7 linked regions of the Xenopus tropicalis genome follow. The protein of the gene in region 1 purifies or fractionates together with the protein of each later gene. This does not show direct contact. Links are inferred from orthologs where the notes say so. Each region holds a gene or a part of one and is shown in the gene's direction. Other genes may lie near its edges.

Evidence for each region.
Region 2: the proteins of cbx1 (region 1) and znf280d purify together in Homo sapiens (affinity purification with mass spectrometry; 4 studies listed by BioGRID and IntAct, with this or other methods). This does not show direct contact. The link is inferred for Xenopus tropicalis from reciprocal best matches to the Homo sapiens genes CBX1 and ZNF280D.
Region 3: the proteins of cbx1 (region 1) and ahdc1 purify together in Homo sapiens (affinity purification with mass spectrometry; 4 studies listed by BioGRID and IntAct, with this or other methods). This does not show direct contact. The link is inferred for Xenopus tropicalis from reciprocal best matches to the Homo sapiens genes CBX1 and AHDC1.
Region 4: the proteins of cbx1 (region 1) and chaf1b purify together in Homo sapiens (affinity purification with mass spectrometry; 4 studies listed by BioGRID and IntAct, with this or other methods). This does not show direct contact. The link is inferred for Xenopus tropicalis from reciprocal best matches to the Homo sapiens genes CBX1 and CHAF1B.
Region 5: the proteins of cbx1 (region 1) and znf644 purify together in Homo sapiens (affinity purification with mass spectrometry; 3 studies listed by BioGRID and IntAct, with this or other methods). This does not show direct contact. The link is inferred for Xenopus tropicalis from reciprocal best matches to the Homo sapiens genes CBX1 and ZNF644.
Region 6: the proteins of cbx1 (region 1) and adnp purify together in Homo sapiens (affinity purification with mass spectrometry; 6 studies listed by BioGRID and IntAct, with this or other methods). This does not show direct contact. The link is inferred for Xenopus tropicalis from reciprocal best matches to the Homo sapiens genes CBX1 and ADNP.
Region 7: the proteins of cbx1 (region 1) and ehmt1 purify together in Homo sapiens (affinity purification with mass spectrometry; 3 studies listed by BioGRID and IntAct, with this or other methods). This does not show direct contact. The link is inferred for Xenopus tropicalis from reciprocal best matches to the Homo sapiens genes CBX1 and EHMT1.

What each region holds. Positions count from the first base shown.
Region 1 is NC_030686.2:11,718,020-11,721,728, reverse strand, and holds the end of cbx1 (chromobox protein homolog 1), read left to right. Parts: intron 1-909; coding exon 910-1,084; intron 1,085-1,594; coding exon 1,595-1,689; intron 1,690-2,308; coding exon 2,309-2,453; 3' UTR 2,454-3,209; downstream 3,210-3,709. UniProt on the Homo sapiens protein: Component of heterochromatin. Recognizes and binds histone H3 tails methylated at 'Lys-9', leading to epigenetic repression. Interaction with lamin B receptor (LBR) can contribute to the association of the heterochromatin with the inner nuclear membrane.
Region 2 is NC_030679.2:100,159,080-100,163,123, forward strand, and holds the start of znf280d (zinc finger protein 280D), read left to right. Parts: upstream 1-1,244; 5' UTR 1,245-1,380; intron 1,381-4,044. UniProt on the Homo sapiens protein: May function as a transcription factor.
Region 3 is NC_030678.2:78,143,556-78,147,586, reverse strand, and holds the start of ahdc1 (AT-hook DNA-binding motif-containing protein 1), read left to right. Parts: upstream 1-1,231; 5' UTR 1,232-1,600; coding exon 1,601-1,667; intron 1,668-4,031. UniProt on the Homo sapiens protein: Transcription factor required for the proper patterning of the epidermis, which plays a key role in early epithelial morphogenesis. Directly binds promoter and enhancer regions and acts by maintaining local enhancer-promoter chromatin architecture.
Region 4 is NC_030678.2:12,933,201-12,937,412, reverse strand, and holds the start of chaf1b (chromatin assembly factor 1 subunit B), read left to right. Parts: upstream 1-1,412; 5' UTR 1,413-1,543; intron 1,544-1,916; exon of another isoform or gene 1,917-1,938; intron 1,939-4,212. UniProt on the Homo sapiens protein: Acts as a component of the histone chaperone complex chromatin assembly factor 1 (CAF-1), which assembles histone octamers onto DNA during replication and repair.
Region 5 is NC_030680.2:105,028,341-105,031,840, forward strand, and holds part of znf644 (zinc finger protein 644), read left to right. Parts: intron 1-567; coding exon 568-3,497; intron 3,498-3,500.
Region 6 is NC_030686.2:35,649,635-35,653,785, forward strand, and holds the start of adnp (activity-dependent neuroprotector homeobox protein), read left to right. Parts: upstream 1-1,351; 5' UTR 1,352-1,680; intron 1,681-2,477; exon of another isoform or gene 2,478-2,575; intron 2,576-3,689; 5' UTR 3,690-3,826; intron 3,827-4,151.
Region 7 is NC_030684.2:4,277,875-4,281,374, forward strand, and holds part of ehmt1 (histone-lysine N-methyltransferase EHMT1), read left to right. Parts: intron 1-1,125; coding exon 1,126-1,270; intron 1,271-1,356; coding exon 1,357-1,434; intron 1,435-1,525; coding exon 1,526-1,641; intron 1,642-1,727; coding exon 1,728-1,814; intron 1,815-2,645; coding exon 2,646-2,724; intron 2,725-3,500. UniProt on the Homo sapiens protein: Histone methyltransferase that specifically mono- and dimethylates 'Lys-9' of histone H3 (H3K9me1 and H3K9me2, respectively) in euchromatin.

The sequences.
Region 1 (3,709 bases):
GATGCCTCTATGATGGGTGTATGGAGGGCTCCCTGCACAGGGGTACCCAGTATTACACATGTGACTGGGGGAACCTGAGCAATTCAGAGGCCAATTGGTCTGACCCATAGTAGTGTATCTTCAGCAGAACCAATTACTGAACCCTGTAATTACCACTAAGGCTGCAGGGGTTATAGATAAGGGGCTTTAGCCTGGCACTTATAGAGTTAAATTTGCCCACTGCCAGGAGCTGCCACAGAGAAAATCATACGTTCGACAGTAAAAATATGTTTCATGTTTTTTTTTAGTACAATTGTCATATTTGTAGCAACTTTTCTGTTGGTCTTCATTTTTAGCAGTGTTTGAATTATTTGCCTCTTTCCAGCTTTCCAATGGGGGGGGTCACTGACCCCAGCAGCCAAAAAGCTATTGTCGGCAAAGGTCAGCAAGGCTGCTGCCTTGTGTTTTTTTTATTGCTTCAAAAGTCAGAACCCCCAAAGCAGGGAATAGAAAAGGACAAATGCAACTTCTAATAGCAATTATATATACAAATAAGCTGCTTAGAATTATGTTTTCTTTTATTGGGCAAAAATTATATTTTGGCTTGACTTGCCTTTTAAATAAAACACCCTAAATAGATAAAGATAGTTCAACCGGTGATTGAGGCTGGGATTGAGCTGAGAGTTGTATTTCAGTGACGGCTGGAGGGCTTCATCTTGGACATGGGCGATACAGGTCCTTTACTAGGGCCACTATATTCTCTTTAGTGCCGGCCGTGCCCATTAGATATTACCCTGCAGCTTGGCGTGCCCGGCCCCTTCCCAATGCGGAAGAAACTTGGTTGCAGTTGCAAAGCAACATTGCGCAGTTTGGATGAAGGGTCTTATTGTGGGGGGGAGAGAATTCTGTGAATCCCTGTGCTGTTTGCAGCGACGATAACACCTGGGAGCCGGAGGAGAACTTGGACTGTCCCGATCTCATCGCAGAGTTCCTGCAGTCGCAAAAATCCGCGTACGAGTCGGAGAAAACAGAGGCAGGCAAGCGCAAGGCTGACTCCGACACCGAGGTCGGCGAGGAGAGCAAACCCAAGAAGAAGAAGGATGAAGTGAGTCAAATGGCTTTTCAGTTGCTTTTAAAGGGAAAATGCCCCCTGCAATGACAGGAGCTCACACTTCTGTAGAAATAAAGACAAACTAAATATCGAGAAATACATATACATACATACTGTCCTTTTTACACAGGTAAACCTAATTCCACAGATTGGGAGGAAGCCATGATAGTCTGACTCGTAAGATCCGTCCTTCCCACCCCTTTAGGCTGACAGTCATTTAAATCCCTTTTCCATGTTGAAGTGATGGATTCTGGGACTTCAGGAAAGCAGAGCGACTTGAAGTCCTAGACTACCTTATTTTTCCCAGCAGACTGTGATATGCACAGGCCTCTGGACATGGAAGGGTCTAGTACAAATCAATTAGTTACCTTGTGAGCACCCCAAAGAACAGAAGTTTTCCCACGTGTCGGCTGAGTTGTAAACCATCAGCTCACTCGGTATTTGGGGCCAGTGATGTGGCACCACCACAAGTAGCCACGTAACATAACCTCCTTCTCATTCCAGGTGGAGAAACCACGTGGTTTTGCACGCGGATTGGAACCGGAGAGAATCATTGGTGCCACAGACTCCAGCGGAGAGCTGATGTTCCTAATGAAATGGTGAGATCCTTGGGGGGGGGGGGTCCCTTTCTACACCTCTCCTAGGTCATTTGCAACTTTAAAGGGGATGTTCACTTTCAGACAATAGTCTGAAGCTAAAACTCTCTCTGCTCTCTTTTTGGAAGGGATCACGGACACCAACTTGTGTTCTGGCCACAGAGCATGCCTTCCCTCTCCTGCTTCATTTGCATTAAATTGATCGGATTGGCTGAATTTTGCCAGCCAATGGTTTCAAAGATATGCAAATAAAGCAGCAGAGGGAAGGCGTGCTCTGTAACCAGTTCAGTGTCAACTTCCTGTTTAGCCAGAATGGTGTTGGAGATCCCTTCCAAAGAGAGAGTTTTAGCAGCAACGATCGGTAGCTTCAAAACAACTTCAGACTATTGTGTGAAGGTGAACATCCCCTTTAAAACCACTGGAAATGTGTATTGCATTTGAAGTTTGGGTTTACTTACCTTTACATCAGTCATGTAGCAGATATGACTGGCTCCAGTGTGTATCTGCTTCTGGGAACCCTGCATGACCCTAAACATAATCCTGTGCATGCTCATTGGGGTGTGCTCCTTATTTGGGGGGATACAGTGCTAAGCAGCAATGGGTACATCCCCCTCCCCCACAGGAAAAACTCAGACGAAGCCGACCTCGTCCCGGCCAAGGAAGCCAACGTTAAGTGCCCCCAGGTGGTGATCTCGTTCTACGAGGAGCGGCTGACGTGGCATTCTTACCCTTCCGAGGAAGATGACAAGAAAGACGAGAAAAACTAAGTGCCCCCCAACAATTCACCAACGATCCACAGTTAGCGGGTGAGATGTATACGCCAGTCACTCACGCCAGAGTGAGGAAGGGGGAGAGCCGTGGAGGATTCAGTCTGTCCTGAATATTTGGTATGTATTATCGGCAGAAATCCGGGGACACGTGGACAGGAGGAACCTAGCACAGGGGACACTGCATCCTACAAGCTTCTCCTCCTCCTCCTCCTTCCCGATAGTGTTACAAACTCTGCATTTTTACTGAGTAGCATGTCCATTTAGTGATGTCTGTGGGTGAGACGGTGAGGCCACGGCGGGAGGGGGGACAAAGCGCTTCGATATCATTGTCACCCTGGAAAGAAGAAAGACAGTCCAACAGGTAGCTGCAGATCCTTCTGCCTAGGAACTCGCCACGTGGGGCTCTTTGGGGACCCTGTATAAGAACGGTTATGGGAATCTCATTGCTGGGTGGGGGGCGGGTGTCCTGGCAGGCAGGAAGCTGAAACAGGTGCTGATCCCATTTTCTAACACTTCCCCAGAATTCCTTCAAGCTGAGGCCCCGGGGTCTCTGCCATCACGCTGTGACTACATACAGATTCATTGTATAAACTGTCAGATTTGTAGTTTTTTTCCTTTTTTTTTTTTCCAGGTTTTTTTTTTGTTTTTTTTAAAAAAGCATGTGTTTTAGGTTTGTGCAAACTTCGTTTTAATGTAAAGTAATTCTTAGCATTTTGTCAGTCTGTCGTCCTAATAAAACTTTTAGATTTATAATTCATTGTCGCTCTGTTTGCTGTGCCCAGAGCCTGCTTGCAAGGAACCCCCCCCCCCCGGCCAGGACTTGCCCTGAGAGGGGCAAATCTATTTAGTGAGTCTCTGCCAGGCAGATAGAGAATCATCACTGTGAATCTGGTATTGCCAGAGATGAAAATGTAACTTGTTTTGAGGGTTAGTTCACCTTTAAGATAAGTTTTAGTATGTTATAGCATGGCCAGTTCTTAGCAACTTTTCAATAGGTCTTCATTTTATTTTTATAGTTATTGAATTATTTGCCTTCCCTTCTGTTTCCAGCCTTTACATGGGGGTTAACCCTTTCCGATCCTAAAGGCATAAGGCTGCAGGCTGAGTTATACAGGGAACTCTGAGTATCACTCACGTATTATAAGGGATAATGTACCCCCTACTGTAAATGATAAGGATATTAGCAGTCACTGAGGGGTTCTGTGACCATATAAAGGCACAAGGCTGCAGGCTGAGTTATACAGGGAACTCTG
Region 2 (4,044 bases), on another chromosome or scaffold:
ATCTTTTATTTAAAGCAGCGTAGGTGGTTTTTCATAGTTAGGGCAGTGATAGGGTTTAGGGTTGCCACCTCTCCTGCCCAGTAACTGTGGGCAAGAAGGCAGGGTATGACATCATGGGGGTGGGGCATGAAGTCACAGGGGCAGGTTGCACAGTTGGGGGGGGGGGGCAATCTGCCCGGTTTTCCCAATTGTATAAGTATGTGCATATATGTGCAGTGGGGTTTGTTTGGAGGGTTTAAACTGCTGCAACCACTGGGAATGACTCTAATGAGGGCACCGTGACTTTTAACAACTATTTGGCCCTATTAGGCCCAACATCCTAGTTGCAGAACTTTTAAAGCTTGTTTTATTACATGGTAGACACCCAACCAATTTTGGTAGGTAGGTAATATAGGGTTAATGGAGCTCTAAATGTTCTGGTCTTTAGATTATGTTTATTTTATGTTCAACATCAGTACTATAGGTTGCTATGATGGGCCATGTTCCTACAGCTGATCCATCTCCCTCACAGTCCCATTAACTAGAATACCATACCACATACCCTTGTCTAAATCCAGGCCAATACAGCTGTGTATTGAAGTGTAATGTGGCAATGTGTAATCCTCAACCTTTATTATGAATGTAATTGGCCAAAATGTGATTGCAATAACCCAAAATTTGGACTGAGAGAATTGGCCATAGTGCATCTTATCACATTAGGGATAAGAAAAAAACAATTGGTACAGCAAAATGAGAATTTCTCATTTACACGCCCATGTGCTTAGTGCATGCACTTTTGAGCCCATGGAACTTTCTGCAGAACTGACAAGGAACCTGCCCGTTTCAGTTAGGACCACAGAAAAGAAAGAATAAAAGATTATAAGATTATTTTTGGTCACTTTCTCCCACTCCTTTATATGAATTTGCACTTACAGTTATTCTGTCGCTTTTGCAAAAAAAGAAATAAAACCACTGGGGCTCTCAAAATACACGACTTTACTTCACAGGACCCTAGTTCGCACAGAAACTCTTGCGTTCTTAGTCAAATAGTCCTTTTTCAGGTTCCATTGTCTACGAGCAGAAAATAAAAGTGATATATTTGGAAATAATTGGAAGCTGAGGTGGCAGCGAGTTAGGTGGGCAACAACACAAAATAAACGTACTTTTTTCTTAAAAAAGCGAAAAGACGCGTCATTACACCAATTGTCATATACACGTCGCTTTCAAAGTAATGTTCAATTACAACTTCTCTGCTAGCCACGCCTCCAAGGTGGTTACGTGTTGCGTCACTACGCTACGTGTAGTCGTGACGCTACAGTCTCGCGTGATGAGACTTTTGGAGTCGGGATTTTCTGTAAGACTGGATGCCAGGAGCTTGCAATTAAGAGCTTTGAGGGGCGGGTAAGTAGCGAAAAGCGGGACTGTTAGGGCAGTATGGACTTACGTGGATTAGCCGCCCCCAGTGCTGTCAGTGAGCTGCAGCCTTCGGAAGTGAAGTTTGAACTTCCCCCACAGCCTATTCATTCCCCATGCGGATCTAGCGGGACTAAAACTTCTATAACAACACGAACAATACAGAAAGTTGTGTAAGGGAAACAACATGTGGGAGCCCTAGCTCGCTTCCGAAGTGTCCAGCTCACTGATAGCAGGGGGCCCAGTAATCCAAGTAAGTCCAGCACGGCCGGGCACCCCATAAGACCAAGAACCCACCCTGATGGCGGCCCTAGATACAAAAGGAGGATGGTTGCAGGCGGTATATTTATCATGCTGTGTAAAAAGTGGAGTAAAACATCACCAGTGATGTTTATAGCAGCCAATCAGATGCTTTGCTAAGATCTAATTGCTGATTGGTTGCTGTGGGCAACGGCACTGGTAATGCTTCACTCCAATTTTTACACAGCTTGATAAATATACCCCACATCTTAGTCATGTTTGCACTCTTCCTCTCTCCCAGTTCTGGCACTTGACACAACTCGATTGTCTCTTTAAAATGGTTTGTAAACTTTAAATCTGGAAGGGGCAGTGAGCAAAGAATCAAACTATGCACCCTCAGTCCACTCTCACCTATTCGCAAGGAAAGCTTTCTTGTCTGAGGGATAGGAAGCAATAAATGGATTATAAGACGACTGCCACACACACACACGTACATATTTGTATGTTGCACAAGCCTTTCTAACTACTAGATATTATCAGTTTATAAAATTGCCGTCGGTTTACTTGAGTTTATAAATAAGAGTAAGTTGCCTTTATTTGAAACTTGTTATGCATTTATGGTAGGGGGGGGGATTGTAGAACTTATTAGAATGGGGGATTTGGAAGTTTTCTGAACTTTTTCGTTTAGCAGAAGCACACAAATCTGTTTTATATTTATAAACCTTTGTCTTGTCAGGCTCTGGTGAATTAGTTCATTTGCACTTGAGCATTTTTAATACTGGCATTCTTACTACTATTATTATTAGGCTAAACATTGCCTTTTCCGTTAGTTCATCCTTTAGGATCGCGTTGCATTATCCTTTAGATTGTAAGCTGTTGTAAGCAGGGACCTTCTACCGTTTTTATTTTGTAACCCTTGTTTGTTACTCAATTTAAGACCCTTGTTTGTTAAAAATAATTGTAAAGTGCTACTTAACTGCCTGCAACTATATCAATAAATAAATAAAAGATGTTGGATATTTTGTATTCCTGGTTTGGTACTGTTTTCATACTCGCATGCAATCATGGGCCAAAAAACCTGATGCTACAAATTTAATGGGGTTTATGGAACTAAAAAGAGTTTCAGATATTATATACTGAGGGGAAAAAAAACTTGTAGCCCAATGATCAGTATGTCTGCAGAGCTTGCCTGGTTTTCATTGTTGTTCTGTCAAATTGGATCAGTCCAATTTCACCTAAAGTGTAGGTGGCCAAATTGTGCAAAGATTTGAGGGAATCTTTGCATGTATGGCCAGCTTTAGATACAAAGGAGATGCGCCTAGGAATTTTTAAAGGTTCTAGGCATCAATATGCCATCCTTTTACAACCAACATCACAGGCTTCAATCATATTACACCATTCCAAAGTATAACAATACTTCTCAGCTGCATATTTTGGCAAAGGACAAATGTTCACAAAGGTTTTTAAAGGAGAAGGAAAGGTAAAAATCACTGGGGGTGCCAAATGTTGCCAGTGACCTTTCCCCTGGGCTGGTGCCCACACCACACATGCCTGGGATAGCTGCAGCAAGTGATTCCTCTTTTTTTTGTCTTCTGAATTCCGGGGATGGTGCATGCGCAGTAGAGTGAAGAAGCCGACCGAAGAAGGAAGAAGAAAAACTTGGTTGCAGCTACCTCGGGCTGGTGCAGTTTTCTCCTAACAGGAGCACCAGCTCGGGGTAAAAGTTAAGCGACTAACATTTTGGCAACCCCCAGTGACTTAGCCTTTCCTTCTCCTTTAAATCTGCTAAGCTTCAGTCTGGCATCACTGTAACCCAAAATCACAGAATGCACATCTTACCAATGAGGTTGCACATTTGCATAGAACAGCTCAGAAAATAATTCTGTTAAAGGACAAAACATATACCTAGAGGTTTTCAAAGATGCTGCTTGTAAATTTAAGTAAAAACATGACTGAAAAAAATAAAAGATGCTGCTCTTAAGTATTTTTACCCCAAAATCACATGCCTACCATCTGACCAGCAAACTTGCACCTTTCCACAGTATTGCAAAACAGAACCACTCAGCAGTACATTGTGGCAAAGGATAAAACGTGTACATGTTTCAAAGATGCTAAGCTTAACTCTGCAACTCCAAATCACATTGGAAAAATGCATTAGAGAACAGTTAATAGCTTATATACTTCAGAAGAGAAAAGAAGGACCTGCACCTCAACACTTATTCAGTTCATAATATAAAAAATGTAGACTCTGCAGATCTTTTTTTTTTTCTACACATTTTGTATCCTTAATTATTTACAGGCGGTCACATTTAAGGCAATCTGATCTGAATAAACTTTTTGCAAAAAAATTTCTTTGTGGGGTTTTTTTTTGTTCTCTGATCAATGAGATCTGAGATTGTGCCATTTCATAAT
Region 3 (4,031 bases), on another chromosome or scaffold:
AGTTACAGGGTTGCTAGGGTCCAAATTACTATAGCAACCAGGGAGTGGTTTAAACGAGAGACTGTTATAGAAATAGAAGAGGACCCGAATAGAAAAATCAGTTATAAAAATTAACAACAGCAGCAAAACTGTAGCCTCACAGAGCAATAGTTTTTTGGCTGCTGGGGTCAGTGACCCCGATTTGAAAGCCACAAGTTGACTGAAGACGGCAGATAGTTTCAAAACGATAAAAAAAAAAAAATAATGATTACCAGTTGAAACATTGCTTAGAACATGCCATTCTATAACATACTAAAAGATAAAAGGGATGGTTCCCATTTAAGTTAAGAGATGCGCAAACTTGCTGCCCCCCTACATAAGATCTGCCACCCTACACCTGTGAGTATGTATCATTTCCAGAAGTCTGAGCTTGACTACAGACATTTCATCAATGGTTATTAAAATATTGCTATTTTCTGTCACTCCCATTTAAAACAATAGGGCTGTAGGAGGTCTAAGGTGGCAAAATGATTTCAGTAATTATTTAAGAAAAAAAAAATGTAAAAGTCATGTAAGAGTAAAACATGCAAGTTTTACTGATTACATACATTTCAGAAATTGCTGCAATTTTTTTGCTGGCAATTTTTTTAAACATCTCTTGATATAACGAGCCTTAAAACTCCAGCTTGCTCACATATCCACATTCCCCTACTCTGTTTCATTCATACACGTGACAGAAAACACCACAAAAATATTTGAATCGCTTCCACAACAAACGTGCGTATATTACATTAGATAACCTATTACAAAACTACACCTTCCAGAATGCCTTGCCGCTGAACTATAGAAACTACAGTTACCAGAATACCTTTATACCAGCTACAAACTATCACCCACAGACTCGGTCTGCATGCATGCACACAAACCTGACAGGGGTTCAGTTATGAGCCAATTCTCTTGAGATGTCCCATGAGCCACTAAGCTCTGTATACTGACTTATTTAAAGTCTCCGATACAGCCATCATATAGGGATAAAAAGAACACTAGAAACTACGTATCCCAGCGTGCCTTGCTGCAAGAGACTATTAGAATAGAACGCTACAGTCTAATCTGAAAGTAGAAACTGTGCGCATGTGCACTATCCGTGGCCTTCACAGAATACACACTACAATTCCCAGCATGCCTTAAACCTCTTGTGAGAGGCCCAGTGGGGAGGACTCCATGTCCCATCACGCTACGCGGCACTGGGAGGGGGAGTAAGATAGAAGGGGCGGAGCCAGCAGCGGGCGGAGGCGGCTCAGACACACTCAGCGCAGAGACACGGAGGAGGAGAGAGAGTCGCGGAAAAAACGGGGATTTACCGGAGAGCAGTAAGGGCGCACCGTGTAATTCCGAGAACAAACAACCCCCCTGGAGTGTATAGAGCAGCGGGTGACCAAAGAGAGGCGCAACAAGGGCCTGGGGGAAGGAGAGATAGAGAGAGAAATTCCCGTGTGTGTGTGTGCGACTGGGGTGAGAGCCAGATCCCTCGCACGGGCAGCCGGGACTATCTGGACTACAGCCTTATATCTGGGGGTGCCACCTGGGAATTGGATCGCCGAGGCCGAGAGATGATGTGACTATGCTGAGCGTGACCGGAGCCGGAGCAGCCATGAGTGGCCGAGAGGAGCAGGAGCCGGCGGGGAGCGGTCAGTCTTTGCTTCGGGGGTGCTGCTGCTCTGTGTGTGTGTGTGAGAGAGAGAAGCACCGTGGGGTGTCAGTTTACGGGGGAGTGTGCACGGCTAGCATGTAATGTGGCTTTGCAAGTTCCAGGGGGCAATGGTTAGTCCAGTGCAACATCTGGTCCTCTAGCTGTTATTGTACTACAAGTCCCAGCATCCCCCCACCTCCTGACAGCTTAGTGTTTGGGGAGGGGGGGTTGTGATACTTCACTGCGTTCAGAAATAGCCGTGGGGCCTCAATTCGTCCATCCCTGGGGGACCCCAGACATTTGTGTGCTGTTAAGTGTCTCTGGTGTGTGTTAGCCAAAGCCATTCATACTTGTATCTAGATGGAGAGCGAGATTGTAGTAATGATGTACATTCGTATACATAATAATAGCTGTATTCTTTAGTCCATTTATTTATATCGCGCACACATACACAGAATTGGAACGTTCATGCACTCTGTGCTGGGATCTAATCTCATGGGGGCCAATTTGAGTCTTCCTCTGGTAATTTCTATACCAGGGGGTCCGTCTGCCTCATACCTACAGGATACACACAGTGTGTCTCAGGTTTATAGTGTCCGTTCCCCTGTGTGCTATTTCCTTAATTACCTTTTCTGAGATGCTTTTTTTAATCATATGTCCCTGTCTCCCCTGCTAGCAAAGGATACATTGTAACATTTGGTAAACTGAATGACAAGCTGGCTTGCATTAAGGTTTATCTAATTTGTTGCAGGCAATATCCTCTCGGGATCCTATGTCCCCATAACTGTTTATATCTATTTAATACACTGTATCCTTCCCAAATCTGTGTATAATATATATTACATATACAGCAACAAGCTTTGTCTATTTTCTTTCCTTTTTCCTCTTTTATCAGTCTTTAGGTGTAGGTATGCATTAAGTGTGCACCTCCAGCTGTGGTTGTTGAATAATACTGAAATATTAGTTAAGCAACAGCTGGAGGGGATATGCTGGAGGTCCCTGATCAAAATACACGCCTTATGTTATCAACTTCCTATCTTTTTGGGGCTTCCCTACTAATGACTTCATTCTGTGGTCTCTATGTATTATGTACCTCTCAGTCTTTATGTCTCTATAGGCCTCTACATATGTAGGGATGAACATGTGCAGTAGAATGTAAAACACCTAATACAAGGATAACTAAATGTGCTATGGGTTACTTATGAAATAAAAGTTTATATAACTTGGCACTTGTGCATGTCATAATTGTACATACCCCAAATCTGTCTCTACATCTTTCACTTATTGTAGAGCTTTATCTTACTACCCTGCATGACTTGTCTGTCATTCCAGCATTATGCTTGTCTATTTAAGTTTTTCACTACCATGTATGTTACATTGGTTTTTTTTTTAGTGTTTTCATGTTAAATGTCTTCTGTAGCCAGGCACCTGCATGCCACTCTGTAACTGAACATGGTTCAGTTGTCTAGTGGGTAGATTTGTCTGATTTAGACAGCCATGTAATGACCACCTTGTTTTGTTGATAGTTGAATATGTCCAAACTAACAGACCATATTGGCACACCTAAACAGTAACTGTATATCAGAATTTCATTAATGGTACAACAAGAAGTTAGGAGGCAATACTTCTTGTAGTATCCAGGTATTCACTGGCACAGATTGGTTCATTGCTACTTGGTCATTTGATGGGCTTGCATGCTCAAATTTTTGTCTCAGGGTTTTCAATTTTTTTTGCATTCAAGCAACCCGTTTTTGAGCAGACATGTAGACAAATCCCTTCTTAGCATGTATGCTATAGATACATGAAAACTTTGTAGTAGTCGCCAATTACAGTTCTAGTAATAACCAGAAAAATAAATGAATGGATTTTTTGCCACATTTTCCCTTCATTCTTCATTGTTCTGGGCTCCTTACCCATTGGCTTGACCTAGGGTGGGCAAACCCACAAGTTTGAAGCATCTTCTCCAACAGGTATATTATAGTAGTTAACGACCTACAACTCTCAAGATATTATGGAATTCTGCCCACCGATTCATTCTTGGGACCACAGTTGAGCAAAATATGAGTTTTGCTTGGGGTTGCACACCTCTGTCACATTCATCCTTTCTGTGTATACTGACCTGTCTGTCTGCACAGTTGTAGACTGTTTTTTGTTTTAATTTGACCAAATTTAATGTGGAGCATGCTTGCATATACCCAAATTATCCTTGTTGGGTTTCACTTTAGGTTTTACCCAGCGGGTATGCTTAATTAACCCCAGGTGATAGGATGCTAAATGGATGTAATACAGTGTGCAAAGTTTGCCACAGTTCTTATCACCTATAGCAACCAGCATTTACTGGTCTCCTGTATAAAACAAACAT
Region 4 (4,212 bases), on another chromosome or scaffold:
ACCTGCGTAATGCAGACATATTGCAGGCACTATATACAGTGAAATGGTAAGTAACGCCCCATGGCAATTTATAAAAATTAATACAACAACAGATATTTGATTTTATTTCAACAATACTCATAAGGAGTATGGGACCTGTTATGCAGAATGCTCTGGACCTGGGGTTTTCTGAATAAGGGATCTTTATGTAATTTGGATCTCCATACCATAAGTCTACTATAAAATCATTTAAACACATAAATCCAATAGGATTATTTTGCCTCCAATAAGGGGTAATTATATCTTAGTTGGGATCAAGTACAGGTACTGTTTTATTATTACAGAGAAAAGGGAATCATTTAACCATTAAATAAACCCAATAGGGCTGTTCTGCCCCCAATAAGGGGTAATTATATCTTAGTTGGGATCAAGTACAGGTACTGTTTTATTATTACAGAGAAAAGGGAATCATTTAACCATGAAATAAACCCAATAGGGCTGTTCTGCCCCCAATAAGGGGTAATTATATCTTAGTTGGGATCAAGTACAGGTACTGTTTTATTATTACAGAGAAAAGGGAATCATTTAACCATGAAATAAACCCAATAGGGCTGTTCTGCCCCAATAAGGGGTAATTATATCTTAGTTAAGATCAAGTACAGGTACTGTTTTATTATTATGGAGAAAAGGAAATCATTTTCAGGCGATGGTCCTCCCTTAATTCTGACCTTTCTGGATTATGAATCCCATATAGTTCCAGGGCACAAATAAGCACTCACCCCAAATCCCCCCCTAACTGGCCTTCAGGCTGGGCCCCCTTAGCCCATAACAAGGTTACAGATATATAGAAACATTGGGGTAACAGTCACCCTGCTATAGTTCCAGGGGTACCCAGGGCACAAATAAGCACTCACCCCAAATCCCCCCCTAACTGGCCTTCAGACTGGGCCCCCTTAGCCTATAACAAGGTTACAGATATATAGAAACATTGGGGTAACAGTCACCCTGCTATAGTTCCAGGGGTACCCAGGGCACAAATAAGCACTCACCCCAAATCCCCCCCTAACTGGCCTTCAGGCTGGGCCCCCTTAGCCCATAACAAGGTTACAGATATATAGAAACATTGGGGTAACAGTCACCCTGCTATAGTTCCAGGGGTACCCAGGGCACAAATAAGCACTCACCCCAAATCCCCCCCTAACTGCCCTTCAGGCTGGGCCCCCTTAGCCCATAACAAGGTTACAGATATATAGAAACATGGGGGTAACACCCTGCTACAATACTAGGGGTATCCCTTGGACAGAAGGGCAGCACATTGCATGTACATTTATTGCCCCAGTAAAACCCCATCCCAGCCCCATTACGCTGCATTGTGCCCACACATTCCAGTTACTTTGCGCTCTGAGACACAAGTGGGATCCTTGCTGCAGTTCCTATCGCGCCCCTAGATGGCGCTGTTCCCGCTCCGCACCAGGGCCGCTCTATGGTAGGGGGCGGGGAGGGAGCGGACGCGGGAAAGTTTGTAGCAGACGTAGAGCAGAGAGCGGATCGCTTCCCCGGGCAGGTAATTCCGTGTGTTTGTGTGCAAGCTTCTTATTTAACCCGTGTATGCACTACAACTCCCACAATCCTGTCAGACACAGCAGACACTGGCAGTTCGGATAGCGCTAGCCTGGGATGAGGGAGTAATGCCTATAGGAGTGTTATTGCTGCTTCTCTATTATATCAGGGGCTTCTGATTCCCTCCATCTGCTCCATAGTGACTGCATTATTGCTGCCATTCCCACACTGGATCCTATTGACTCCCCTTTGCTGCTCTTCATACTTTCTATTGCAACAGATGCGTTAGAGTTCAGCGCCAGAGCTTGCAGCCCCCCCCCCTACTGCACAGATAGCCCTGCATCATCCATATACTATTGCACTCATATAGCCATTCCTTGTATTCTGCAGTGCGTTTGTGTGAGTATACATAATTCCCATCAGTCCCTGCCCCAGTGAGCTTACAATCTAAGGTCCCTATCACATTCCCATCAGTCCCTGCCCCAGTGAGCTTACAATCTAAGGTCCCTATCCCATTCCCATCAGTCCCTGCCCCAGTGAGCTTACAGTCTAAGGTCCCTATCACATTCCCATCAGTCCCTGCCCCAGTGGAGCTTACAATCTAAGGCCCCTATCCCATTCCCATCAGTCCCTGCCCCAGTGAGCTTACAGTCTAAGGCCCCTATCCCATTCCCATCAGTCCCTGCCCCAGTGAGCTTACAATCTAAGGTCCCTATCACATTCCCATCAGCCCCTGCCCCAGTGGAGTTTACAATCTAAGGTCCCTATCCCATTCCCATCAGTCCCTGCCCCAGTGAGCTTACAATCTAAGTTCCCTATCCCATTCCCATCAGTCCCTGCCCCAGTGAGCTTACAATCTAAGTTCCCTATCCCATTCCCATCAGTCCCTGCCCCAGTGAGCTTACAGTCTAAGGCCCCTATCCCATTCCCATCAGTCCCTGCCCCAGTGAGCTTACAATCTAAGGTCCCTATCACATTCCCATCAGTCCCTGCCCCAGTGAGCTTACAATCTAAGGTCCCTATCACATTCCCATCAGCCCCTGCCCCAGTGAGTTTACAATCTAAGGTCCCTATCACATTCCCATCAGCCCCTGCCCCAGTGAGCTTACAATCTAAGGTCCCTATCACATTCCCATCAGTCCCTGCTCCAGTGAGCTTACAATCTAAGGTCCCTATCCCATTCCCATCAGTCCCTGCCCCAGTGGAGCTTACAATCTAAGGTCCCTATCACATTCCCATCAGTCCCTGCCCCAGTGAGCTTACAATCTAAGGTCCCTATCACATTCCCATCAGTCCCTGCCCCAGTGAGCTTACAATCTAAGGTCCCTATCCCATTCCCATCAGTCCCTGCCCCAGTGAGCTTACAATCTAAGGTCCCTATCACATTCCCATCAGTCCCTGCCCCAGTGGAGCTTACAATCTAAGGTCCCTATCACATTCCCATCAGTCCCTGCCCCAGTGAGCTTACAATCTAAGGTCCCTATCACATTCCCATCAGTCCCTGCCCCAGTGGAGCTTACAATCTAAGGCCCCTATCACATTCCCATCAGTCCCTGCCCCAGTGAGCTTACAATCTAAGGTCCCTATCCCATTCCCATCAGTCCCTGCCCCAGTGAGCTTACAATCTAAGGTCCCTATCACATTCCCATCAGTCCCTGCCCCAGTGAGCTTACAATCTAAGGTCCCTATCACATTCCCATCAGTCCCTGCCCCAGTGAGCTTACAATCTAAGGTCCCTATCCCATTCCCATCAGTCCCTGCCCCAGTGAGCTTACAATCTAAGGTCCCTATCACATTCCCATCAGTCCCTGCCCCAGTGAGCTTACAATCTAAGGTCCCTATCCCATTCCCATCAGTCCCTGCCCCAGTGAGCTTACAATCTAAGGTCCCTATCACATTCCCATCAGTCCCTGCCCCAGTGGAGCTTACAATCTAAGGTCCCTATCACATTCCCATCAGTCCCTGCCCCAGTGAGCTTACAATCTAAGGTCCCTATCACATTCCCATCAGTCCCTGCCCCAGTGGAGCTTACAATCTAAGGCCCCTATCACATTCCCATCAGTCCCTGCCCCAGTGAGCTTACAATCTAAGGTCCCTATCCCATTCCCATCAGTCCCTGCCCCAGTGAGCTTACAATCTAAGGTCCCTATCACATTCCCATCAGTCCCTGCCCCAGTGAGCTTACAATCTAAGGTCCCTGTCACATTCCCATCAGTCCCTGCTCCAGTGAGCTTACAATCTAAGGTCCCTATCCCATTCCCATCAGTCCCTGCCCCAGTAAGCTTACACTCTAAGGTCCCTGTCACATTCACACAGAACATACAGGCAGGTTGCAAAAGTAAATTGCAGAATTGCTCGGGGGAGCAGGTTCTGCTTGTTTGCTTTATTTGTTTGTGTCTTTAGTTCTATTTTAACTCCCCCCTATATGTAATAAAAGGCACAAAGTGCAGTAACCCATAGCAACCAATTATAATTTGATTTAAACTGGTAGCTACCTGCTGATTGGTTGCTATGGGTCGTAAGCATTGTAACAAGCTTTGTTCCTTTATATTACATAACCCAATAAAGGTCCAGTCTTTTCAAGCAGAGATTGGGGGTACAGTAGCCTCTCTGCCATTGGAGGAATTGCCTGACAGAGCTTAGCTGATTGGTCTGTGTGCTCTTCCCTTCCAG
Region 5 (3,500 bases), on another chromosome or scaffold:
ACCACGGCCACTACATATAGTGCATAATAAATATCTTGTTAGCTAGGGGATTGCATGCTGCAAAATAGGGGACAAACCCCTGTGTTTACTGGGTCAAACAAAAGGACCACAAATTTTTGAGGTGGGCTCCTTTATCAGGGGGAACTTGAATGCCAACCAGATATGGCAGAGATCCCTAACCTTTTTTTACTCGTGAGCCACACAAGCATGAAAAAGTTCTTTGGGGATGCCTAAGCAACTTGTTGGGCCTTACTGAAATATGGTATTTGTAGCATCAGAAAGGCTATTCAGACTGACCTAGGGTTACCTTGTGCAGTAGATGAGCATGTAGGTGATTTTTTTTTCTTGATGGTCAGTTTTCACTTTAATGGTGTTCACAGGCACTACATTATGTTTATAAACACAGTGAAGCACCATATGTATTCAGACTTCTTTTGTGGAACAATTTTTAAATGTATAGTAAATACCTTAAGTGGAGTTAAGATGTTTACAGAATATCGCATTGTGTTTTTTTTATTGAATTGTGAATTGGTTAATTACACTTAGCTTTTTTATTTTGCTTTTTAGAACCTATTTCGTTAATGGGAAGACTAACAAGATGGAAGAATCCCAGATAAATACTGAAAGTTCTGGTGCTAAAGAACGCCTCAAAGAGGACACCAATTTCAACTCTGAAGAAAATGATCTAGTATTTAAAAGTATACAGTCAGGACAAATCATTTTCCAGAAAAATAGTTCACTGACTATGCCAGAAGACTTACAGAGGGACAGGTCTGAAAAAGCTTTAAGCAGAGTCCAGCCTTCTCTATTCATACATGCTGGTGATCCTACTATAACTAGTGAAAACCTTTCCTTGACTAAAGAAGCTACTATAAATGGACCAGTTTCTTGCTCCCCAACCATTACTTCCATCATAAGTACAGATAGCATTTCAAAAACCTTGGAACAATCCGCTGTTCAGCAAAAAGATTTGTGTTCATCTTTGAAGGTGGTATATGATCTCCAACAGCCTACAATAAAAACTGCGCAGATTTCAAGTCAGCAAGTTTTATTTTTGATACCTGATATAGCACATACAAAGAAAGATACCCATTCCATTGTAAAACTTCCTACCTCTTCTATTTGTTCTGACACAACTAATGGGAATATTTTCACATTGGATAGCACTTTAATAGAGCCTGTAGATGTGTGTGATGATAGGAAAAATATGCCAGTCAAAGAGGTATATAATCCACATGGTTGTGGAAAAGATGATTATGTAACAGGAAATGAGACCAATATGAATGGTCAAAAAGAACTTGTAAATAATGAAAACGCAGCTGGAGAATCTGAAAAAAACTGTGTTGTAAAAGTAGAGAAAAAAAGGAAGAGGAAAATGGATGGTAGTAAGATAACTCGTTGCTATTCAGAAGATGCTTATAATGATGATTATATTTCAAAGAAAAAGTTATTAAATCTAGATATGATGGAACAGAGCGATGAAGAGCAACTCCTAGCCCCTCACAATTTTGAGTTAACGAAGGTCAAGTCTGAATCCAATCTTGATGACACGGAAGAACATCTTCCAAATGAAGCGATAGATGCTATGACGCATTATATGTGTAGCCCTGTTTGTGACTTTTCTGATGAAGCATCACCTGATGATGTTGGGTCATTTTTTCCAAATAATGATTGTGATTCATTGTCACCACCAACTTGCACTAATGATCAAGAGCCATCATTTTATCCTTGCACAAAATGCAATGTAAATTTTAGGGAGAAGAAACATCTTCATAGACATATGATGTATCATTTGGATGGGAATAATCACTTTCGGCATCTTAATGTTCCAAGGCCATATGCTTGTAGAGAATGTGGGAGAACATTTAGAGACCGTAATTCACTTCTTAAACATATGATTATCCACCAGGAACGACGGCAGAAGCTAATGGAGGAGATAAGAGAATTGAAGGAACTTCAGGATGAAGGCCGAAGTGCGAGACTGCAGTGCCCTCAATGTGTATTTGGAACAAACTGTCCAAAGACATTTGTGCAGCATGCCAAAACCCACGAGAAAGATAAAAGGTACTATTGCTGTGAAGAATGCAACTTTATGGCAGTTAGTGAAAATGAACTGGAGTGCCACAGAAGTGCTGCACACGGAGCAGTGGTAAAATGTCCAAGTCTCACTTCAGATATACCCCAGAGAAAAGGTATTAAAAAAGCCTCATTAAAAAATTCTCTTTTTCTTTCATCCAAAAAATCTGCAACTTATATCTGTAAGATGTGCCCATTTGCTGCTTCTACTAGAAACAATTTAAAAAAACACATTGAATATGTTCATCAGTCATCTTCCCCTGATCACTTTAATGGTTCCCTTTTACAGAATTTCACAGATTCTGAACTTCTAAGTGTTGGTAAGGAAACAAAACACATTATAAAACCTTCCTCTTCATTTCCAAAGAATTCTGTCTTAAAACAGGATATGAAAAGCCATTATGGTTCTGTATCCCAAACAAACAGTTTTACAAAGTTGCATCGAAAGCACAAAATACAAAAAGCAAGGAAAAGTGCTGCTCAGTCTGTAGTTTGTAGTCCATCCATTTCCCCAAATAAATCCCTTCTCTTTACTAGCAATGACCAAAAACATAGGTATTATCAACAAATTACAAAACCGAAATATGCCAGAGCGAATCATGGCTACAGATACGGTCAGAATTTCAAAATGTTAAAGAAGTCTAATGATTTGTATCCATTAAATTTAAAAAAGGAAGATTCATCTAGTACTTTAGAGTTGCTTTCAGCATCCACTGATCTTCAGAATGATTGCTCGATTATAGATGCTGAGTCTTTACAGCCAAGGAAATTTGTTGCTTTTAAAGATCACAGGCGGGTAGCTGTAGAAAAGGTGCTTAAACCAGAAAATGAACATTCAGCCACTGAAGAAAGTTTAGACTGTTATCCAGATTTCCTTAAAAAAATGACTTTTGTTGTCCTGAAAAAACTTCACCCCTCTGAACAAAAAGATGAATATGATTCATGGGAAAATGATGAAATATATGAATATACAGAACCTCCTGATGGACCTTATAATACAGGAAAGCAATCAGTTTATCCTGTATTCAAGGAGAAATTGAACGATGAGCATGGTGATGAATCCACCCTGCACTATAATAGCAATGATGGTTTTTACTTTGAGTATTATGAAGATGGGGAGGGGGATGTATTTATACAAGACATGCCTGGTGCTAATCATCTTGAAAATGATGACTCTGTGCTGCAAGAGCATAGTGCTATATTCCATTGGAGTGATTTGTCTCTGGAAAAGAAAAATTGTCCTTATTGCCCTGCAACCTTTGAAACTGGGGTTGGACTGTCAAATCATGTTCGTGGGCATCTTCACAGAGCAGGATTGACGTATGAAGCTAGACATGTGGTGTCACCAGAACAGATTGCAACTAGTGATAAAATGCAGCACTTTAAGAGAACTGGAACACCAACGAAACGAGTTCGAAAAGGTA
Region 6 (4,151 bases), about 24 Mb from region 1:
ATGATTTTATTAAATTTTGTATAATCTTCTTTAATTGTGAGTACAATTTTAAGTAATATATAATTTTATTTTTTTGTTTTTTTAATATACTGGTTGGTGATGGTAACTGTTGGTTTATTGCATTAAATATATACTTGAACTGTACTTTATTATATTTAAGTCAGTTTATGAATATGTATCACGTAAAGATCCACTGAACATTATAGGCTGGGTGGGGCATTGTTTAGACAACACATAAAAGACTGCAACACAGTGGAGCTGACGGCAAACACTGGAATTAAATAAAAGGCTTGAAGTCAGATTAATCATGTTTAGGGTTATTGGTCCTTTGAATTAAGTTGTCTTCATTTTTCAATAATTTCAATTAATTTTTCAATCAATTCAATCAAATGCTTAAATACATTTGCCTATTTTTTTTTATAATAAATAGGCCTGTTGGTAGTGCCCATACAGATGCGCTGCTAAATTGGTCTGAAATTGGCAACTTAAATAGGCATGTGTATTGTTACCTTTAGTCTAGAAAATCAGAAGCCCCAAGAATAGAAGGGCAATGGCAAACCAAAACTACTTTAGTTGAAAGAAAATATTCCAGGTCCCCAAACATACCATGAAATAGGGTCCTGATTGTATCAGAGAATGACTTTAATGCTTGGCTGTTGACCATAGAAAGCAGCTAATTGGCTTTGAGGGCACCTATATGCACAATGGGTTACTAACTAGCAATCAGTTCTGCTAAAGGTGCTGATGCTTTGCAACTGCCAGAGGGATGCTGTGGTACCTACTATATTGGCACCATAATACCTAGCTAAGGGATTTTACTTGTCATTTGTTAGATCCTCAAGAACTACAGTGACCACTGGCTGGAAGATGTCACCTCCCTCCAAAGAGACCATTGTAAATTGGCAGTCCTTGGCAGCCATTACTGTGGCCAACTTAGTTTCCCAATGAGCCTCTTTCCACAGAAGTGTAACTCATGGGATGCTTACTTCTTGCTCCTGATATAGTGCCAGTAGCAATGAAATTGGCACCCAGTCAGGGAGCTGCCCTACCAATCTCTTCCCTCCACACCACCCAAACCACATGGCTGCAGCACTGAGAACCCAGCACCACGTGACCAAACCCATAATAGTGCCGGTGGCGAAGGGATACCAAGAACACCGCGCATTCCCACTGTAATTTTTCTGTCTTTGAAGTATCCGTCCGCAAAAGGCGCCCCCTAGCGGTGAGAGGGAGATTATCTTGGTGACCCGATTTTCTCTTTCACCCCCAAATTCCTGCTGGACAAGATCCCCTTTGTGCATGCCCATCTCCCCGGTCCCCAGGTGCGCGGCTGCAGTGGAGTATTTGTTTTTTCCCGGGCTCCCGCCAGCTCCGGACAATGAGTCCCCCCACCCCTCCTTCATGCTAATGAGCGCTGACGTCACTTCCGCTCCTTCGCGGCCGCCATTTTGGCCAGGGCAGGATCGGAGCCGCTGCCGCCGCCGTGCTGTATTGTCTGCAGGAGGAGGAAGTGCACCCGGCGGAGTCACAGCTGCAGCCACCGGCACCGGGAACTGACTCCACCCCCTTCCCACACACAAACACGGGGCTCATGCTCAGGCGCATTGCCTGGCACCCCCATATCCCAAGGGGCCATAGGCTGCCCACCGCCTCGGGCTGACAAGCAACCCCCCGGCTCAGGTATGTCTGGGGCCGTGAGCGGCGTAATGGTTACAGGGTGGGTATGTTGGGGTGCATCTTCTCATGAAGTCGGAGTGCCTAACGTGAGGTAGAACTAGAACTCCCAGATCCCCCCTATAGAGGATGATGGGATTTATAGTTCAGGAATTGGGGGGGGTGACAGGGGGTAGAGCAGAGCTAGTTACGGATAATAAAGTTACTGGTGGTGTGAGGAACAGATGGAAGTTATTAAGGATTGGGGAGACACTGAGGGCTGCAGGAAGTGCGGGGCACAATGGAGTTGGTGGAAGTGCAGAGAGTGTGAGGGACACAAATAGGGGATGGAGATAGTGTGGGGACAGATAGGCAGGCTGATGGGCCCAGTGGGCAGGGGGCATACCTGGCTATTGTACTGAGCACTCACATCTGTGCCGGGCAGCTCTGATTGGATGCGGATAATGATGGTTGTGGGGACAGACTTGTTACTTTGGGTGTAGGGATGGGGGAGGTGCCAGTATGAGTCCTGTTGCCCCCATTGCCACTAGCTGGGGTGCCCCAATGGGATGTGTGGGTGGGCACCCTGCTGCTGGGGAGTTCCAGCCTGACATGCAGTGCCGGTGGGAGCTCGGCTAGAGGGGTGCCGGGCATGGAGGGGCACAGGATCCGGCTGTGGGTGCAGCGGGGGGCATGGGGTTGGCGCTGCCATGCTACATAAATAGAACTTCGTATTGCGTGCAGTTATGAAGCCGGAGGGCCGTACCTCGGGCATCCCAGTGGCATGAAGGCAAAGGGTTAATATATGGGAGGGGGTGGGGATAGGGGCTGCCCCCACCCTCCCTTGTCTGGCTGCTTCTGCTGCAAAAAGGCGCGATCCTGTAGGAGGAACCTTTAAACCAGCATGCTCCCCTCTCCCCAGGTACACATGGGCTGGCCGGCGCTAGGGTTTAGCGGCAGGTGGGCTGCACCACTCCCCGTAGTGGGGGTCCATCACAAAGGCGCTCGATCCGAACTGCTGCCGGTGTTTTCCTGCGCTGCACATGGCCTGCTGTCACAGTGATGGCTTCGCATTAGTCATGCACTTTAGCGCTGTTTGTTTTCTCTATTTGCACGGCTGCGAGCTGTGGCAGGGGGGAAAAAGGGGAATAAAAAAAATAACAGGCAGCCTCCACCCAAGATGCACTGCAGCTAGAAAATGGCGCCTCACATTCCAGTAGGGGGCGCTTGCTGTGCGCCGGGTAAGGCGCTGGGGTGGGGGGATGGGTAGACTGAAGCAAAACTGGAAGCTGCTGCACAGCGCCTCCTATAGGTTTGGGAGTGGAATGCGGCAGGGCCCATGACAGCAGCATTATGCACTGCTTGTGCAGAGAGCCAGTGATTCACTCCCACATTCCCTAGGCCCCTCTGGTGCTTCTAGGTGCAGGCTCTAACTTATCCCTTGTTTGTTCAGGTTTTGCCCATCACTAGTGTAGAGCATGGATGCACTGCTTGGGACCTTCTGAGTGCTACAGTTCCCAGCATCTCTGCTAAAGGCTGCTAGTGATGGTTCAGCAACACCTTAAAAACTATACTTTGGATACCTGGGTATAGCCCCCCTGTCACAAAACTGACTTGTCAAATTGGTGCCTTTTCTTACTCATGGCAATTTACTTTACTCCTTGTGTCCATTAGGGCTATGCACCTCACATCAGATTATGCCAGCTAGTTATTTACCACTAACTTATCCCTTGTTTGTTCAGGTTTTGCCCATCACTAGTGTAGAGCATGGTATAGTGTATTCAATAACAACACCTTACCTTACTTTTAGCATTTTTCGGGTTCAACGTTTTGTGCAACTTGTGCAGAAACAGAACTCCCAAATTATAAAGAGGGTGGCCCTGGGAAGGGGGTGAAACATAACTGAACTGATAGACTAATGTATCAAAGCACTAACCCAGTAAGTGGCACTATAGAGGGGAAGAGTAGAATCAGAGGGTACTGTAGTTTTTAAGAAAATACCATGTGCTTAAAATTCAATCATTTTCTCTCTACAGGTGGATAAATTCATTGGCACTTACACTTTTTCCTTGGATTCCTATCTGCAGCACCTTGCACTGTGTGGGACATACAGCAACAAACTGGCGCTCGGATCATCATTTCAATCTTCCTTAACTTTATTTTGACATAAAAGGTTTGTTTTCATTTCTCCTTTCTACCTCTAAGCTTTTAGAAAAGAAGGATGGTAGTAAGGACTGTGTTTTTGCATGGCATGTTAGAGGACCCTGGAACCCATGGAGTGAAGTGTCTTTAGTAACCATCATTATTTATCAACTGTGTAACCATGCTTTAAAGTTAATTACTACTGAAAAACAGTTCTTTTGACTAATAAAAGAAAATATAACTTAACTTTTCAAAATACATGCATTCCTGATTTCATTAGTTTTAAAAGTTATGTGTAAATGTTATTAATGTTGAAAGCTGTATGTGTTGATCCATTTTTGTTCTGCGTCAGCCAT
Region 7 (3,500 bases), on another chromosome or scaffold:
AATGGGCACCTATCATAGGGAAATGGTTTTGGCTAATAATGCCCACACTCCGGGTGGGGGGAACTGTACTCCGGGCCAGAACTAGGGGTAGGTACTTATCATTGCCCCCGCCCCCGCACAATGACAATTGGCGGGGTGGCCAACTGGGTTGCCTAGGGCAACCCCGTTGGCTCCCCCCCCCCCTGACTTTACTATATTGGCCAAGAAATGCTCCTAGGGAGCTTCCAGTGCAGGGGGCCATCTTTGCCCATGCATATAATGAGAGAGCTGGGACTCCCCCAAAATGGCCGCCTCCACTGGGAGCTGCCAGTCGGTTTGGGCGGCAGAGAGCAAGCCAGGAGGAGTATTTACCTAAAATCATATAGTTTCCTCTATTAGCCAGCATCTTGGTGGGGCAGAACACAATTTTCTATTGAAAAGTGCCCTTTAAAGGGGTCGTTCGCCTTTGAGTCACTTTGAGAATTTGCAGTTGGTCTTCATTTTTTTTATTTGTAGTTTTTGAGTTATTTCGTTTTCGGTTCAGCGGCTCTCCAGTTTGGAGTTTCAGCAGCTTATCTGGTTGCTAGGGTCCAAGTTACCTTCGCAGCCAGCGAGTGGTTTAAACGAGAGGCTGGTATATGATTAGGGGAGGGGCTAAATAGGAAAAGAAGTTATAGAAAGTAACAATAACAATAAAACAAGAGGCTCACAGAGCAATAGGGTTTGGCTGCCGGGGTCAGTTCTCCTGTTGCTAGGGCTCAAATTACCTTAGCAACCACAGAGTGGTTTGAATGAGAGACTGGTATATGAATAGGGGAGGGGCTGAATAGAAAGATAAGGAATAAAAAGTAGCAATAACAATAAAACTGGAGCCTCACAGAGCAATAGGGTTTGGCTGCCGGGGTCAGTTATCCTGTTGCTAGGGCTCAAATTACCTTAGCAACCAGGGAGAGGTTTGAATGAGAGGCTGGTATATGAATAGGGGAGGGGCTGAATAGAAAGATAAGGAATAAAAAGTAACAATAACAATAAAACTGGAGCCTCACAGAGCAATAGGGTTTGGCTGCCGGGGTCAGTGACCCCCATTTGATATTTGGCAAATATGGTTGAATTTTAACCCCCCTCGTGCTTTATTTATTACAACAGGGATATATCCCGGGGGTACGAGAATATCCCCATCCCTTGCGTCAACGCCGAAGACTCCGAGCTGTGTCCCGTCAACTACAAATACGTCTCTCAGAACTGCGTGACCTCCCCGCTGAACATCGACAGAAACATTACCCATCTGCAGGTAGGGAGGGGCTTATTGCTGTGCCGCTAGGGGGGGTGGGGCCATAGAGTGGGTACCAGACTGATTTGTCCCTCTTGCCCTTTCAGTACTGTGTGTGCATCGATGACTGTTCCTCTAGTAACTGTATGTGCGGCCAGCTGAGTATGAGGTGCTGGTACGACAAGGTAAGCGCTGCGAAATGCGTCGGGCACGTGGGCAGCCATTTTGGTTTATATGAGGTTCCAATACCTTTTTTTTTTTTCTTCTTCCCTCCAGAACGGGCGCTTGTTACCAGAGTTCAACATGTTGGAGCCCCCACTGATCTTCGAATGCAACCACGCCTGCTCCTGCTGGCGCAACTGCCGCAACCGTGTGGTTCAAAATGGCTTGAAGTGAGTGACGCTTCCCCCCTACCCCTTTACGCCAGTGCCTACCAGGGTTCTTTTCACCGAAATCTCGTTTTTTTCCCGTTTTCCAGGATTAGATTGCAACTGTTCCGCACCAAAAGCAAAGGCTGGGGGGTGCGATCCCTGCAAGACATTCCCCAGGGGACCTTCGTATGCGAGTAAGTGTGTGCGTAAATCTGCCTTCTGATTGGGCCCCGACCTTCTGTCCCAGCATCCAATCAGAACGAGCCACCTCCCTGTGGCCCATCTTGCTTTTCCTGCCTGCTTGTCCGCAGCTTCTGTAAAGAGCAGTAAAGCGGCCGTGCATCTGCAGATTTACTCCTTTAACGATCCACAAGGGGGGGCCATTGGAATGTTAAACAGACTAATTGTGTTAAATGGATCAGATGTCTCCGCTTCCAAAAGGTTTAGAGTGGAGGAGGGTTCGGCCACCAAACTCATGAACTCCCAGCATTCCCAGCTGCCCCAGAGACCTCATTTCTGGGCTCCATTCCTGCATTGAACCAGAAGAATCTAGTAGTAGCTTAGGGGTAGTTAACTTTTAGTATGATATAGAATGGCCGATTCGTAGCAACTTTTCAATTGGTCTTCGTGTTTTATTTATTACGATTTTTGAATTATTTTATTTATGACTGTTTCCAGCTTTCAAATGGGGGTCGCTGACCCCGGCAGCCAAAAAACTTGCACTCGAGACTACAATTTTATTGTTATTGATACTTTTAATTACTTATCCATCTATTTAGCCCCTCCCCTATTCATTTTCTAGTTTCTAATTCCAACCACTGCCTGGTTGCTAGGGTAATGTGAGCCCTAGCAACCAGGCGCCTGCTGAAATTCCAAGCTGTAGAGCTGCTGAACACAAGTCAGTAAACCACAGAGAATTAAAAGTGAAGACCAATTGCAAGTTGTCTATCAAGATCTACATCGTACTTAAAGTTACGTTGAAGGTGGACAACCCCTTTAATGTCCGTCTGGCTTTCTTTCCCCAGGTATGTGGGGGAGCTGATTTCGGACGCAGAGGCTGACGTTCGAGAGGATGACACCTACCTCTTTGATCTTGATAACAAGGTAAGTGGTGGGGCTATTAAAGGAAAGGTGAACTTGTAAAGGTTAGAAGTATCTATTGGCTATCTGAAGACCTTGCCACCTTGACCTTAGCTGGATCCGATGGATCCACCAAATTGGATACTACATGATTGGCCAAACATTATGCAGGACCTGATGGCCATGTCTGGCCAACATTGTCCAATCATCTGTGTCAAGTCAAGCATGATCAGCGAGGTGGCGCCTTTCAGGAGATGGTCATGACAACAGCACTTGTAAAGGTTAGAAGTATCTAAAGGCCTGAATACCTTGACCTTAGATGGATCCACCAAACTGGATACTACATGATGGCCAAACACATGCAGGACGTGATGGCCATGACTGACCAACGTGGTCCCCTGGAACATTTTCAGGCTTGTCCAATCTTCTATGTCAAGTCAAGCATGATCAGCGAGGTGGTGCCTTTCAGGAGATGATCATGACAACAGCATTGGTAAAGGTTAGAAGTATCTAAAGGCCTGAAGACCTTGACCTTAGATGGATCCACCAAACTGGATACTACATGCAGGAAGTGATGGCCATGACTGACCAACATGGTCCCCTGGAACATTTTTTAGGCATGTCCAATCATCTGCGATCCAATAGGGTTGCAGGAAGATCTGCTAGAACCAAGGGGACTCCATCCATGTGTGCATTTGTGTTCTGTACTAGAGATGTGGCCCTCGGTTTATGGTGGCCCCATAAAAAGACGGAAAAGCCACCGGGTCAAAGCAGCCCCCCTGGCTTGGCATTCATGTCCA